Lepisosteus oculatus: one gene and its partner. The protein of the gene in region 1 purifies or fractionates together with the protein of each later gene. This does not show direct contact. Links are inferred from orthologs where the notes say so. Each region holds a gene or a part of one and is shown on either strand. Other genes may lie near its edges. The genes, in order: ras-related protein Rab-5A and rabggta.

Region 1 (7,924 bases):
AATGGTTGATTACATGTTCTTCCAAGTGGGGCTTTCTGATGGCTTGAATAAGCAGCTTCACGTAGCTCTTGTAACTTTTGTTGAAAAAGTGTCTTTGGAGATGGATTAGTCAATAATGCCGCCTGTAATAATAATAATATCCATTCAATGAGAGGCACAGTGATTTATCAGTTAGTGCTGCTGTCTCACAGCTCTTGGATTTTAGTTTAATTCCAGTATAAATGGAGGTTTGAATGAATCCACAGAACACAAGTGGATGTTGTTGTAGAGCAGCTGAGTGATGTCACTTCCTAAAAAAGAACACTTAATATCTCAGAAACCAAAGCAGTACAAATACTGATTGGAACAGCACAAATGTAGCAGAAATGAATCACTTTTTAATCACTGTTAGTGTTTTTAGTAGGAGGACCAACCTTACAGAGCTAATCGAATTAGCTGGGAATGATGCTTCACCTGAAGAAAATATTTGTTTTCTATTATCCGTCGTTCCATTTTGAGGAGCGGGAATTGCATACACACAAAATTTTGCTGTTTTGCTTTTGGATCCGACAGACATTGTTTGCCACTCATTGCTTAAACATACTGTATCCAACAAAGGGACATCCCTCACCAGCGTCACACTAAGTGAACACAGGGTAAGCCTTCTCACTTCACCCAGAATTCCATGAGGTAATTGGGCTGAAGACATTTAGAGCTGTAAGGTGGTTGCAGTGCTAACCACCAAGCCAGCATACTACCGTCAAGTTAATAATCATCGTCAACATCGTCATAACAGTGCAGAAAATCATCAGAACAAGTTGGGAAGAGACAAATTAAATAGCTATACAGTTAACGGAATAAAGACAGAAAGTTAGTTAAACTTAGAAAAAAACAGATCCTAAAAAGAGATTGGGAATTTGAGCAATACTTCATTCTTAAATTGAAATGCTGAAAAACTGTTGCACCTGAGCATGAGAATGTTAAATGTAATGAAATCATGATTGTTATTGATCAAGAAATCCTTAAAGAAAAGAATTATTCCAAGATGACAGCACACTAACAAATGTTCAAAACTACTGTATATCAATCAGGATTAAGTATTACAAGGATATGATAGTCCACCTTAGAAACAAGGAAGAGTATGACAAATTTGAAAGAAATTATATCTTTTTTGTGAGCATTTACAGTATTAATGGTAAGTGGAGATGTAAAATCACAACAAAACACAAAAACAGTACATTAGACTATAATGCAATAAAGGTTCTGAATAAATTGTTTTGTTTCTGAGAAACTATGATTATATATGCCTACAGACTTACAGTTAAAGAGGGCCTTGTGCTCACACCATGCACAAGACTACTAGCTACATCTGGATCACCGGCTTTCCCATAGAACACTCTGACAGCCCCTGGATCTGGTCGTGTTGTGTTCAGAAACTTCTTAACTACTGGAGGAGTAACAGGCTGCAAATAAAGGTAAGAATATTACTAACACTTCATAGATACTAATGAGATCATGCATATCTAATAAAATTCAAGGTCACATAAATGCCTTCTTTTTGAAAATGTTTTCATAATGTCAAAGGCAATAAAAAAATCAATCACACATCATATCCAACATACAGTATATACATATATATGAATTGATACAAGTATAAATAATAATCACATATGCAGGATGAGGACTTTATTTAAAGCTTTTATAATTCCTGGCAAGAGACAGTACACTATATATATAGTATATATATATGTGTGTACAGTACATGTACCCATACACATATACAAAATAACATTGTTATACAGTTACTTTGCTATATAGTAATATTAAATATTACTATCATATAGTTAAATATATAAAATATTAATATATTAAATATATTTCTATATAGCTACAGTTAAAAGTTAATTCTCCCATAGGTAAGGACATGGAGTGCAAAAGAAGGCTTCTGCTTTTTTGTGCCCTTGGAAGACATTCCATAGCAGATGCCGGCTGTAGAAACATGTCCGATTAAACTGTGTAGTCTCAAACAGTAAATGGGATAGGCACCAGCTGTCTAGGAACAAGAATCCACAAAGAACTGCAGAAACATAAACTGCATCAAATTATATGAAGGTGGGTAAGCAATTATAAATACAGCACCAGATAATGTGGGGAAGCAATTAAGAAATAAACAAAACGCGAGGATGCATAGTTAAAAGCATAGGATTTAAAGAATTTCAAGGAATATTGTATAATGCACTAATAAGGACCCAATTAGAACATTGTGTATAATTGTGATCATCATGTAAATATATTGCTGATCTAGAATCAGTCCAGAATATAGTGAATTCCTTGGCTTATTGGAATGTCCTATACTGACTGGCTGAAGGAACTCAACATTTTAGTCTTAAACAGGGAAGATTATGAGGAGACCTGATATACTGTATATATTTAAAATCTTCTATGTTATTGACAAGGTCAACTCAGTGGATCCCAAAGGGTAGTGAGAGCATAAAACAAGAAATGGCTGGACAAAATCCTTGGATTCATTAACTACTAACTACCAAATAAGCTAGAATGGCCAGCAGCCATATCACCCTGCAACTCACAACTGGCAACCCACTGAAGCTAAGTAGGTGTGTGCCTGGTCAGTACCTGGATGTATTTTCCCGGGAAAAACTGAGTTTGCTGCTGGAAGAGGTGTTAGTGGGACCACCAGGGGGCGCTCACCCTGCAGTCCATGTGGGTCCTAATGTTCCAGTATAGTGACGGGGACACTATACTGTAAACAGGTGCCGTCCTTTGGATGAGACGTAAAACCGAGGTCCTGACTCTCTGTGGTCATTAAAAATCCCAGGGCGCTTCTCGAAAAGAGTAGGGGCGTAACCCCGGCATCCTGGCCAAATTTCCCATTGGCCCTTACCAATCATGGCCTCCTAATAATCCCCCTCTATGAATTGGGTACATTACTCTGCTCTCATCCCCACTGATATCTGATGTGTGGTGAGCGTTCTGGCGCACTATGGCTCCCGTCGCATCATCAAGGTGGATGCTGCACGTTGGTGGTGGAGAGGAGTCCCCATTACCTGTAAAGCGCTTTGAGTGGAGTGTCCAGAAAAGCGCTATATAAGTGTAAGCAATTATTATTATTTATTATTAAATGGCATCCTCTCATTTTTAACTTTTTTTACTTTCTTAATAATTTCCTCCTGTAGACAATATGGAGATGCACTAAAACACAGTTGCAAGACAAATATAGTTAAAGTTTAAATGAATTTAAACCAAGGAACATTACATTTAAAAAGTGCAATACAGTACAGTAAGGTTTAATTTAGAACGGTGCACAACTGTCGTCACTGTGCGACATACAAAAATATAATTATTCTTCCACCCTTAAAAGGAAGAGTGATCAGATAGTCCCCAGGCTTCAATAATATTCATACAAGGACAGTCTAAGAAATTGTATTTTTGATAAAGGCAATACAGTTGATCTCATCAGAATCGACCATCCTACACAAGCCAAGGATACAAGCGGAATCCATGGGGGAAATCTGAAAACGGGGGATATTTTTTTCTTCAAAGTGTTTGGGTTCCTGGAACATACAGTCATGTTCCCGATACTCATACCTCAGGCTTCTTTTATCAATTAACTACTATTAGGCACCAGTAGCCCAAACTGGCTGCGAATTAAGAAAACAAAACTTACCCTGGGAGTAATTTCCTTAAGACATGTTTCTGCTCTTTCGCCTGTTGGTATTAACTTTCCTGCCTACGAGAGAAATCAGCGCACAAAATCAGTGTAGGTTCCATAAAAAAAAAAATCTTATACAAATACTCATATCACGTCTACACATAAATACACATGACAAATTAGAAATTAGATGATTTAATCAAAACGGTTTTCAATCCACCTTAAATCCACCATAACTAGATGTATTTGTACTACAAGGAACACAGAGATATTCTGGTTTCTAATTCTGGCTGGTCATGAAGTATTTTGCAAGCTAAAATATTACACGATGAAATAAATAAATAAAACATTACCGATTTAATACTTGGAAATCTGTCCTTATATTTCGCAGCATATATAGCCTCACGTTCCAACATTTTTCCTCTTTGTAGTATAAGAAAATTGAACGTTGTACTACATCGAAAAGCGGTTTGTCTTCAAGCGCTACATAAAGATATTTCTCATATCACACTCCTGCACAAGTCAGTGGCTAGCACTGCATTGTTCAAGTACTGGGATCATGATACATTTCACATAATGTTTATGGTGCGCAGCTAGGCAACAGGTGCTAGGAGACAGCTGCTACACATCAGCAGCGACTGTGCTGCTTCCATTATGTATGTAGTACATGACAAAACGTCAAAGCTCACATGGCACAGTGAGAGGTAAACTAGGCACTTTTAGATATTTCCCTCCAAAATATGAAGGCTTTAGAAGGGATAATTTTTGAATTACACAATAGTACAGCCCATTAAGATGCTACAGGTTGAAAACTCGATTCCTTCAAGGATTCATAATTGAAACATGCAGGATCTTTCAAGAGGTTTTCTGTATGGTTTTCTTTGGGATATGATGCCAAATACCGTAGAAAAGAAACACGAAACAAATTAAAAGCACAAAATCGCAATTAATAACAAGAACCGTGTTTTATTCTGCATATTTTTTGGGAAAAAAACACTGGGCTTTGCAACCTCACACGTGAATGCTTTGAGTACTTTATAGGTGACTGCCGTAGTAGAAACCGAACAACACTAATTAACTAACACTAATTGCATTGCAAAGCCTTGCAGAACTGCTATGTGACGTGGCGGATGAGGGGCGGATGCGCTTGTGTGACGTAAGGTGAGGGGCGGAAGTGCTCGTGTGTGTGTTTTGGTTCTAAAGGGGGAAGTTGCGAGAAAAAAAGAAAGGAGGAGACGTGATCTGGTCCGGTGAAAATATACGTATTTTTACAGCTTCAAGAAACTGTATTTTAAACATTTCTGTACAAGCCCCCTGTGTTGGAAGGTCGTGAAAATACATATTCTTCTGTCCATCAGGTAAAGTGATCAAGTTGTTGAATCATCGGTGTTCGTTGATAGTGGGGAACACAAACAGGCCCTAGGTCTGGGGAAGAGCCTTTTTGTTAGTTTTCCTAAATTGTTAACAAGAATTTGCGGTTTGTATTGTTTATGGATTTTTAATCATTATATGTAGAGGTGTAAGGTAATGTCACCTTCTATTTTTAATACGCAATTAAATCTTGATTAATTGATTGCAGAAGAGGAAATGTATATTTGATTTTCCCAAACTAGTGTTATCCAAAATGGCGTCTTCCTTCTGCATTTTAAGAAACAAAACGAAAGGGGTTGGAAAACAATACATTTTTAAACTCATCTGATTTTGCTTCTTTAAGCCTTTATTTTTGTCGAGAGTCACCCGACGTAGCAGAGCGTTAGAACTGGATACATAGTTTGTACCGGAAGAGTTTTATTTCTCGGCGTGATACTGGGGTATTCCACTCAAACAGCATGTATAAATTATGGAAAGTAATCTCAATATAATCACATTTTTTTCCATTAGACGTAACACGTTGGCAGACTTCGATTGCCTTGACATGATCAGATATTCTGTGTAGTTTGCTAATAATTGGAAGTAAGCATCCAACACCGTTTTTGCGGTGTATCTGTATCATTACCTTCGACAACATGATGCGTTGCTTCTGTTAGTGTTGTTTTCTAAATAGCATTTTAATAGTTTTAAGGTACATAACGTGGATATCAGTTTCTTCAAAAAGTGATCACCTGCTTAACAAGGGTGCGTCTGTTTTCTTACAGCTGTGTACACAGACAGTGACTTCAAACGTCACAGGCCTAACCTATGTCTTATTTACTTGCTGTCGCTATCCTAGTCCAGGCGATTGTAAATTCATAAGTCCCCGAATAGAGGATAATAAAATAATTTCTGTAATGCACATTCATCTTAACCAGGAAAACCAAACCAAGGTGCAGAGGACACCAACACTCAAATACTGTACCATGGAAGCAAGTCGCTTTTCCGTTCCCAGAATAAATCAGAGTTGGGTTTATACCGTGTTTTGGTCTCCCGAGGGTAGACTTCATTATTGCATTTATATCTTTCATGGTTTTCTGAATAGTTTCATGAAGTGGTGTCTATATGTTATGTTTAAATACGAAAAATGTGCTTTGAAAGCGGATGCTGTGTTTGTAACGGTAATGGCAATATTGATCTGTTGATTTTCAGATTAGTAAATAGTTCTCCATGATAATTTGTTTGGTCTTTGTTTTAAGTGCTATTATAATGTTGCTTATGTTTTAATTAATGCACTTTTGTTGACCTAATTAAATTATAGCCATGCTATTTCAATGTGCATCTGATTTTTGTTTTACAGAAATGTTGCAAGAATTCAGCTTACTACAGTTTGATGTCAGTTCCTTAATTTTGTCTTATCCAGAAATGACCTTTTCATTACCTAAATCATGTCCTTTAATTTATAGAATGTTATAGGCTTTAATCTGAATAACACTAGAAATCTATAAAATATAAGCGATTGTATAGGCCAGTAACTGCATGTCTACGGTTCTTTAAGGCTGATGTATTCAGTATATAGAATCAACATTAATGTTTAAAAATAAAGGTGATTTAGGATCTGTGTTAATTATGTAATAATTTCAGAAATTAATGTCTGTAATACTTCATATGTTCACTATTCAAGTCCTATGCAACAGAATAATATTGTATATTGTTTATAACATTATCAGGGATTCACAAGAGATGGTACAGACTTAATATGCTGAAAAGTAAGCAAAAATGAAGGTTAGATTACATTAGTTTTTAGCAAATAAAACATTTCTTTAAGGGTTTGCTGGAGTGAAGACACGGGATAGAAGTGCAAACATTACATACCCCAACTGTAGACTTAATTTTCTCAAGAATCTTCAGAATTGCTGGTAATGTTTGAAGTTGAAAACATCCTTTAACTGTAGCAGCCAGATTCATACAGTAGAGACAAGGACATGTCAGAGTTCTTCACTGCTTATCATGCCTTTATCGTCCCTGGTTTTTATTGTTGTCATGTCTTTATTCACAGTTTTATAACCGAGAAGACAAGGAGGACAGTGGTCAAACAAGAGTCCAGAGCAGGAGACTGGTGTTTAGGTCATGGCAAGTCGAGGAGGTGCAACAAGACCCAATGGACCAAATGCCGGCAATAAGATTTGCCAGTTTAAGCTAGTGCTTCTTGGAGAGTCTGCTGTGGGGAAGTCCAGTTTAGTGCTGCGCTTTGTGAAAGGGCAGTTTCATGAGTTTCAAGAGAGTACAATAGGAGGTAAGTAGAGAAAAGGTACTTCAGTGAATCTGAACCGAAGCTGTTTTTTTTTAATTAATAGGATGTCTGTTTGAGTTCTTGATTTATTTGTGGTTGGTAGTGGATGTTACTCTGGTATGTTTTGAAGTTAAATCCCTGGTTCAAGAAACTGTTGGAAGAGATTCTTGGATCCTTTGGCTACTAACTATCAAACGGGCTAGATACGCTGAATGACCATCTGTCCCTTGTAACCATTCTTTTGTTCTTAATGTGCTCTGTTGTGGCCGTTGGAGTTAAAAGAATCTAGGAGTTCACTCTTCCTTTAAGATGGTAAATGCATGCTGTGATTATCTGTACAAAACATGTCATCATTGCTTTTTCTTGTGTGTTTATCCTTTTAACTGTAGCTGCTTTCCTGACGCAGACTGTGTGTCTGGATGACACAACAGTGAAGTTTGAAATCTGGGACACTGCTGGACAAGAGCGTTACCACAGTTTAGCACCAATGTACTACAGAGGCGCACAGGCTGCTATAGTTGTATATGACATTACAAATGAAGTAAGTGTGAAAAACAGTGCAAAATTATGAAATAAATAGAATTTTAGCACGATTTAAAAAATTCTAATCTTTTGTGGAATCTTGGTGATTG
Region 2 (8,045 bases), on another chromosome or scaffold:
TGAGAAAGCTCCTCCACCATTTTGTCTGATTTTGTTGTGGTCTTGAAGGCCGAGCCCCTGTCCTCAGTTTCAGGATGCTGCTCCCTCGCACCGTGGGTCAGTGTCTCCTGGCTCAGGGGGAGTCTCTGGGCTCCCTGCTGTATCTCCATGGTAACTCTGGGCTGCTCTGGAGCTGTTGCACTGGTACCCAGGAGGAGGTGTGGCCCCTCGCTGCTATTAGCTTGAGGGCCACTCGGCATTTCCTGCTGGCACTGCTCTCGAGACGCACGGTTCTGCACAGAGGAGTTCAGTACCAGTGACTCCATCCTCTCACCTGGCCATCCAGGGAAAGCTCTCTTCACTGGTCTGCAGCAGAACTGCCAGGTTCTCTCCTTCTGTAGTCTGTCTGAGCCAGGCGCTGCCTGTAGAAGTTATACTGTACCTGACCATCGTGATCTTCAGCATGAACACACACCTGCAGACTCACACAGCTGAGCCTTGAAGAGCAGGGTCACCAACACATGGCTCAACAAATACAAACAGTGAAAACAGTGAGATCTGGAGGTAAATTAATTATTAGTCCAGCAAACTGATGTCGAAACGAGTAAGGAAAGTTATTGAGGTTAAATCATTCTGTGCAGTAATATCCACAGATGTCCTTCCATCAGCTCTTACAGCCATTCCTGCAGACTGCCTTCATCTAGAACTGTCACTAATCATCACTTTTAAAAAGATGGAGATTTCAGTATTTTTATTTCTTTAACCTTTACATTTGACTGCAAAACTTTAATATCTGTTCCCCCAGTTTCTGAATATCCCTGCTTTCCCTTAAGAAATACAATTGTAGAGACTAATCACAACAAATAAATAACAAATCTGCTCAATTCACAACCAGATGTGACAAAACACATTCAAGACTCACAATATTTAAATATTTTCTTATTTTCTGTTCTCTTCACTCCCTGGGATAAAGAAAATACACTGTCGCATACAGTATATAATATGCTTTACATACAGCTACTTATGTGCAATAAAATTAATTTTTATTAAATTACCCTTATTAATAAGCACGTTAACTAAGTTCTTTATCAATAAATGTGGTTTCACTGGAAAGTAGTTTAAGCTAAACATTACAATCCTTTTCCAAGCGACGGACACATGACTTCCTGCCGTAGTGCCGGTGTTGTTTCCCCTCTATTCTCCTGTGATCCAGAGCTCCGCCTGTCCCACACTGAGCTGTCTCCCCATGTGAAGAGGCGCTGGGAGTCAGTCCTGTACTCCAGTCACCTCTAGAGGGCAGCAGCTCTCACTCTGGGCTCGTTGCAGTGGAGAGCAGGTTCAGCTCGGAGCTGCGGACTGATTTCAGCGGCCAAGTTCGTTGCTCTTGGTCTGAAGTTGGCGCGCTAGTTTAACACGGAGCTGTGTGCTGACCAGGGGCTGAGCTCCAGTTAGTGCGCTGTGTCAGTTCGTTACAACTGACCCACAATGTCTGTTTTTCAGGTTTCCATACGTATTACACTGATTTGTGTGTAACGAACAAGAAAAAAAGACACACACAAGCTTTGTCTGTTCTCTCTCGGGTTCCCCTGTCTTGTGTAAAGACAACTTCAGCCTTAATTCAGGTGACAGAGTTAAATACACTGACAGACAGCTCTTAACACACACAAACAACAGATCCTTTTTATTACTGTCCTCAGCAGCGCAGGAGGAGACAAGCTTGCAGTTACTGCCTGTGTGATTCAGGTCCCTGTTATTGTTAATGAAGTGGCAGCAATTTCAGCTTCTAAGAATTTTGTCTTAACGAGACTTTTATAATCTAACTGATAGAGAGGAACCAGAATAACCATGAAAAGACAGTTTGATCGTTTTTCTTCTTGTGAAATAATGTATCCATCAGTATAAAGATGCCCTCAGCCGTGTGATCTGCACACAGTGGATCATCAGGTCTCCTTCAGATTTAAAGACACTTTCTCCCACAGGAGCCAGACTCTCGCAGTGTGAGAGCTCTGCACACGCTCACAGCTCATCTCAGCCGGGCTGGGCCTGTATTTTCATCTGAGAGAGGAGTGAGATACAGATCATTTCATTCTCTCTGTCTGCTCTCTGATCCACAGCTGATGTGACTCTGGACCCCAATACAGCTCATCTCTATCTCATCCTGTCTGAGGATGGGAAACAAGTGAGACTGGGAGACACACGACAGGATCTCCCTGACAATCCAGAGAGATTTGATCATTGTCCCTGTGTCCTGGGAAAGGATGGGATCACCTCAGGGAGACACTACTGGGAGGTGGAGGTGGGAGAGAAGACTAAGTGGACATTGGGAGTCGCCAGAGAGTCCATCAACAGGAAGGGGGAGATCACAGTGAGCCCTGAGGATGGTTACTGGACTGTGTGGCTGAGGAATGGGAATGAGTACAAGGCTCTTGATGACTCCTCAGTCCTCCTCCCCCTGAGCCAGAAGCCCCAGAAGGTGGGGGTGTATGTGGACTATGAGGGGGGACAGGTCTCCTTTTACAATGTGGACAACAGGTCTCATATCTACACCTTCACTGCCTCCTTCACTGAGAAACTCTTTCCATACTTCAGCCCCTATCTTCATGAGGGAGGTACAAACTCAGCCCCACTGATCATCTGTCCTGTCAATCACACAGACTGAATCAGCACATTGTCTGATTCTCTCTCCTGGCATGTAAATCGTTTAGTCTTTTTCATTTGAAATTGTTCTTCTGTTTCTTGGGTGTTGTTTTCTCCACCCACTGCTGGGCATGTCCACATCTGCTCTCAACGCTACTCGTTCAGTCACCAGAAACATCATCACCTGTGGGAGGGGCTCTCTTGGAAAATGAAATTATTACTGGCTTGTGTCAAACTGTTCTACTTTCTACTTTCAGTCCATGTTATTGCTCTATTCTGTTTGCTCTGCATTAATCACTTCTTTCAGTAAATCAGTAAAATTGAGTCACAGTTGTTTTCTTTATCTCTCACCTGTAAATTCTCCAGATTCATGGCTGACTAGCTGGGTCACCATCAGACACAGACTAACACGTCAGCTGAATGCCAGTCGCTTTCTACATGATGGACATTGCTGCTTCACTGTCATGGCCTGGACTCAGATAGAACTATTTCTGTATTAAATAAACTCTGAAATTCTGAATATTTGACATTTGGTCTTCATCTTCATCTTCATCATGATTTAACATCAGCAGCTATATCACCCTGAAACTCACCCCTGTCAGTCCCCTGAATCTCAGCAGGTGTGAGCCTGGTCTGTATCTGGATGGGAGACTCCTGGGAGAGGTGTTAGTGGGGCCAGTAGGGGGTGCTCACCCTGTGGTGTGTGTGTATGGGTCCTCATTCCCCATTATAGTGATGGGGACACTAGACTGTAAAAAGGCACCTTTAATGGTTTCTGCTCAAGGGACCCCCAGACTTCAGCAAACATCCTCTCTGCTTTGAAGTTAGAAAAGTCACCTAAAACTGTAACAATATTTTAGAAAAAAAGTGCAATAATAAATACATCAGAACAATTCTAATTCAAAATACATCCGACCAAGAGATGTCTTCCCTGTTATCAAGGAGAAAGTAATTTTTAATGATATAGACAATGATTCTCCTATTTCTGCTAACCCTGAATACATTACTCTCCCCACGCCACCAAAAACTAAAGACATTTTCAAATACTGAGCAACACATATTTCTCTAAGGAATTTCTCAGAAAACGGTTTCACTTTGACTGTAACACCTGTGCTTTTTGTGAATCAGATATTGAAACAACCGAACACATTTTTTTCTCATGTTATCATTCAACCTATGGCTGCCATCGCATCATCCAGGTGGGGCTGCACATTGGTGCTGGTGGAGGGGATTCCCATTACCTGTAAAGAGCTTTGAGTGGAGTGTACAGAAAACCGCCCTATAAGTGTAAGCAATTTTGTATTATTATTATTATTATTATTATAGATTTATGACCCTCTGTATGTCCTTGGTTAAATAATAGTAATATTTGTGTAAATCTAACTTTTATGTGTATGTGTACACATATGTGTAGAGTAAAAAAACTGTGCTTTAAAGAATTTTCTAATTCAAGCTATACTCAAATTCATTTAAAATATAAAAATATGTTTGGTGAATTGGTTTACAGAAATCTTTTCACATATAAATTATTATCTAAACTTAATTACGCAGAATTATTTAATGTGACCCCTAAAATCACTCAACCTTTGCACTGTTGATAAGGTTCTGATTTGTTATTCTGTTTCATTCAAATGATGTTGTGACATCCGTACACCCTGGTTGTTGTATTTTTTTTATATACATAAAAATAAAACTTAGTTTTTTTAAAAAAAATAGCAGAAAACTTGCAGTAGTGTAGAATAGGAGTACCTACTGCAATCAACTTTTAAAGCAATTAAGGTGTATCTTCTTGTAACTACATTTGTGTGTTTTTACACCCCTTTGGTTATTTTGTATTTTTCACAGTCGTTTTTTTTTAGGTGTGGACATTGGGAACCCAGCTCCTCACAATAAACACTTTGCACTTCTGAGAAAATGATCTCCGAGACCTCCATTGTCATCCACCTCAGCCTGTAACAACATCCACACACGATATAACTGCTGTATCGACTGATCACTTCCTCCTTGTTTCTCTGCTCACATTAAATTAGATACGTTTCCACAGTCTTAATGTGCTGTAGTGGGTTTTTCTTGCAACTGCGTTTTTTTTTCAAAAACGTTCACATGTTTTCTAATATCACTGACTCTCGCGAATCACAGGGACACGCAGATATAAACAAAGACCGAGGAGGAAACGCCGCTGGACTGAACCAAGCTAGCAGTGCAAGGGGGGAACAGGTTAACCGGGTATTACACACAAACAAAGGTCATATGCCATGCTGAGTTGGCAGATAAATACTTTAAAACAAGTTTATTGATTGTTTATCACTGTGTGATTTGACGATCGTTGTATGTTGTCAGAACCCCGTTTTCACTAATCTGAAGATCCGGTGTCACGATGTGTTTAAAATGACCCCCCCTGCCTCCACGGTTCTCCTGCCAGACCCGGAAGAGCGCGGCGGCTCGAGGCGACGCTGTAGAGGTTCTGACATCCGGGATCCGGACTGACCGATACAGGTCTAGTACAGATCCAGTAGAGATATAGCACAGGTCCAGTAGAGATATAGTACAGGTACAGTACGCGTCCAGTAGAGATATAGTACAGATCCAGTCCAGGTCCAGTAGAGATATAGTCCAGGTCCAGTAGGGACAGAGGCGGACAGGGGGGTCACTACGTCAGAGTCCAGTTCAGCTCGGGTGTTTCTCTCCCTGCTCCAGTGTTATTATTGCTGCGATGCTGTTGTTGCTGTTGATGCTCAATGATCTGCAGCGCCCCGGTGCGTGCAGGGGCCGCTCAGCAGTGTGAACAGGACTTCAGCACGCTGGCTGGACAGTGTTTCTCTGCAGAGATCGTGGAAACCGGCTTTAACGTGTCGCCAGGTCTCACTGACAGCGTGTCTTCCTCTGGCTTGTCTGTCTTTGTGATTGACCTTGCCTGTCTGTCTCTCTGCCTGTCAGTCTGTTTCTAACTCTGCTTTGCTTATTTCCAGGACTGACAATCCCTAATTGACAGGAGTCATGGTGAGAGTAATTACATTATTGTTACTGATGAAGTAATCTTGTGTCCAGTGTGTCCAGTGTGTCTGTGTGTCTCTCTCTCTCAGTGCAGTGTTAATGTACTGGAGTGTCCAGTCAGTGTGTCTGTATGAACCCCTCTCTCTCAGTGCAGTGTTAATGTACTGGAGTGTCCAGTCAGTCAGTGTGTCTGTATGAACCCCTCTCTCTCAGTGCAGTGTTAATGTACTGGAGTGTCCAGTCAGTGTGTCTGTATGAACCCCTCTCTCTCAGTGCAGTGTTAATGTACTGGAGTGTCCAGTCAGTCAGTGTGTCTGTATGAACCCCTCTCTCTCAGTGCAGTGTTAATGTACTGGAGTGTCCAGTCAGTCAGTGTGTCTGTATGAACCCCTCTCTCTCAGTGCAGTGTTAATGTACTGGAGTGTCCAGTCAGTCAGTGTGTCTGTATGAACCCCTCTCTCTCAGTGCAGTGTTAATGTACTGGAGTGTCCAGTCAGTGTGTCTGTATGAACCCCTCTCTCTCAGTGCAGTGTTAATGTACTGGAGTGTCCAGTCAGTGTGTCTGTATGAACCCCTCTCTCTCAGTGCAGTGTTAATGTACTGGAGTGTCCAGTCAGTCAGTGTGTCTGTATGAACCCCTCTCTCTCAGTGCAGTGTTAATGTACTGGAGTGTCCAGTCAGTGTGTCTGTATGAACCCCTCTCTCTCAGTGCAGTGTTAATGTACTGGAGTGTCCAGTCAGTCAGTGTGTCTGTATGAACCCCTCTCTCTCAGTGCAGTGTTAATGTACTGGAGTGTCCAGTCAGTCAGTGTGTCTGTATGAACCCCTCTCTCTCAGTGCAGTGTTAATGTACTGGAGTGTCCAGTCAGTCAGTGTGTCTGTATGAACCCCTCTCTCTCAGTGCAGTGTTAATGTACTGGAGTGTCCAGTCAGTCAGTGTGTCTGTATGAACCCCTCTCTCTCAGTGCAGTGTTAATGTACTGGAGTGTCCAGTCAGTGTGTCTGTATGAACCCCTCTCTCTCAGTGCAGTGTTAATGTACTGGAGTGTCCAGTCAGTCAGTGTGTCTGTATGAACCCCTCTCTCTCAGTGCAGTGTTAATGTACTGGAGTGTCCAGTCAGTCAGTGTGTCTGTATGAACCCCTCTCTCTCAGTGCAGTGTTAATGTACTGGAGTGTCCAGTCAGTCAGTGTGTCTGTATGAACCCCTCTCTCTCAGTGCAGTGTTAATGTACTGGAGTGTCCAGTCAGTGTGTCTGTATGAACCCCTCTCTCTCAGTGCAGTGTTAATGTACTGGAGTGTCCAGTCAGTCAGTGTGTCTGTATGAACCCCTCTCTCTCAGTGCAGTGTTAATGTACTGGAGTGTCCAGTCAGTGTGTCTGTATGAACCCCTCTCTCTCAGTGCAGTGTTAATGTACTGGAGTGTCCAGTCAGTCAGTGTGTCTGTATGAACCCCTCTCTCTCAGTGCAGTGTTAATGTACTGGAGTGTCCAGTCAGTCAGTGTGTCTGTATGAACCCCTCTCTCTCAGTGGTAATGGACTGAGTGTCTCTCTTTCTCTCAGCATGGACGTGTGAAATTAAAATCCACGGCGCAGCAGGAGGAGGAGAAGCGTAAGGAGCGAGAGAAGAAGCTGACAGTGTACATCGCTGCCCGGGACGCCTGTTTTCAGAAGGTCAGGCTGACTGCTCCTGCACCGAGCACCCCGGAGGACGCGCAGAGGCTGTCACAGAGACGCGGAGTTACGCTGACCCTCTGTCTCGCATGTCTCTCTCTGTCTCTGTGTCTCCCAGAGGACGGAGGGCCAGCTGGATGAGGACAGTCTGCAGCTCACAGCTCAGCTCCTGGGCTCGAACCCGGACTTCGCCTCCCTCTGGAACTTCAGGAGGGAGATCCTGGGGCAGCTGGAGACACTCAGGTGATTAACGGGCCCGTGCCCATCGCACTGACTGGTGAGGTGTGATTGAATCTGACAGGATCTGTTCATGTGTGTCTAGATTATTATTATTATTATTCATGGAAGACAGTCCAAAAACAGGAGAGAGGGACAGTGAGGAGAGAGAGACTGACAGTGACACTGACCATTCACACTCAACAGCAACACATTGGAGCACACATCCAACTACACATATCTCGGTCTCACCATCAGCTCTTCCGGGAGTTTTGACCTGGCAGTGAAGGCACTGAGGGAGAAGGCACTCAGGGCTTTCTACGCAATAAGAAGGAGGCTCTTCAACATCAACCCACCAACAAGAATCTGGCTCCAAATATTTGAAAGTGTAATCCAACCCATTGCCCTATACGGCAGTGAAGTGTGGGGTCCCCTCACAGACCAGGAGTACACTCAATGGGACAAACACCCCACAGAAACTCTGCACATGGAGATCTGTAGAATGCTACAGAACCCTAAACAGACAATACACACTAGCTGAATATT

What was found.
Region 2: the proteins of ras-related protein Rab-5A (region 1) and rabggta purify together in Homo sapiens (affinity purification with mass spectrometry; 3 studies listed by BioGRID and IntAct, counting the BioPlex papers as one, with this or other methods). This does not show direct contact. The link is inferred for Lepisosteus oculatus from reciprocal best matches to the Homo sapiens genes RAB5A and RABGGTA.

The regions. Positions count from the first base shown.
Region 1 is NC_090705.1:30,054,865-30,062,788, forward strand, and holds the start of ras-related protein Rab-5A, read left to right. Parts: upstream 1-4,823; 5' UTR 4,824-5,007; intron 5,008-6,371; exon of another isoform or gene 6,372-6,394; intron 6,395-7,058; 5' UTR 7,059-7,129; coding exon 7,130-7,295; intron 7,296-7,681; coding exon 7,682-7,833; intron 7,834-7,924. Other genes in the region: efhb (EF-hand domain-containing family member B), read right to left, coding at 1-122, 1,299-1,442, 3,665-3,727, 4,003-4,065. UniProt on the Homo sapiens protein: The small GTPases Rab are key regulators of intracellular membrane trafficking, from the formation of transport vesicles to their fusion with membranes.
Region 2 is NC_090699.1:13,765,350-13,773,394, reverse strand, and holds the start of rabggta (geranylgeranyl transferase type-2 subunit alpha), read left to right. Parts: upstream 1-5,014; 5' UTR 5,015-5,112; exon of another isoform or gene 5,113-5,475; intron 5,476-5,585; 5' UTR 5,586-5,613; coding exon 5,614-5,616; intron 5,617-7,172; coding exon 7,173-7,283; intron 7,284-7,401; coding exon 7,402-7,526; intron 7,527-8,045. Other genes in the region: E3 ubiquitin-protein ligase TRIM39-like, read left to right, coding at 2,094-2,638. UniProt on the Homo sapiens protein: Catalyzes the transfer of a geranylgeranyl moiety from geranylgeranyl diphosphate to both cysteines of Rab proteins with the C-terminal sequence -XXCC, -XCXC and -CCXX, such as RAB1A, RAB3A, RAB5A and RAB7A.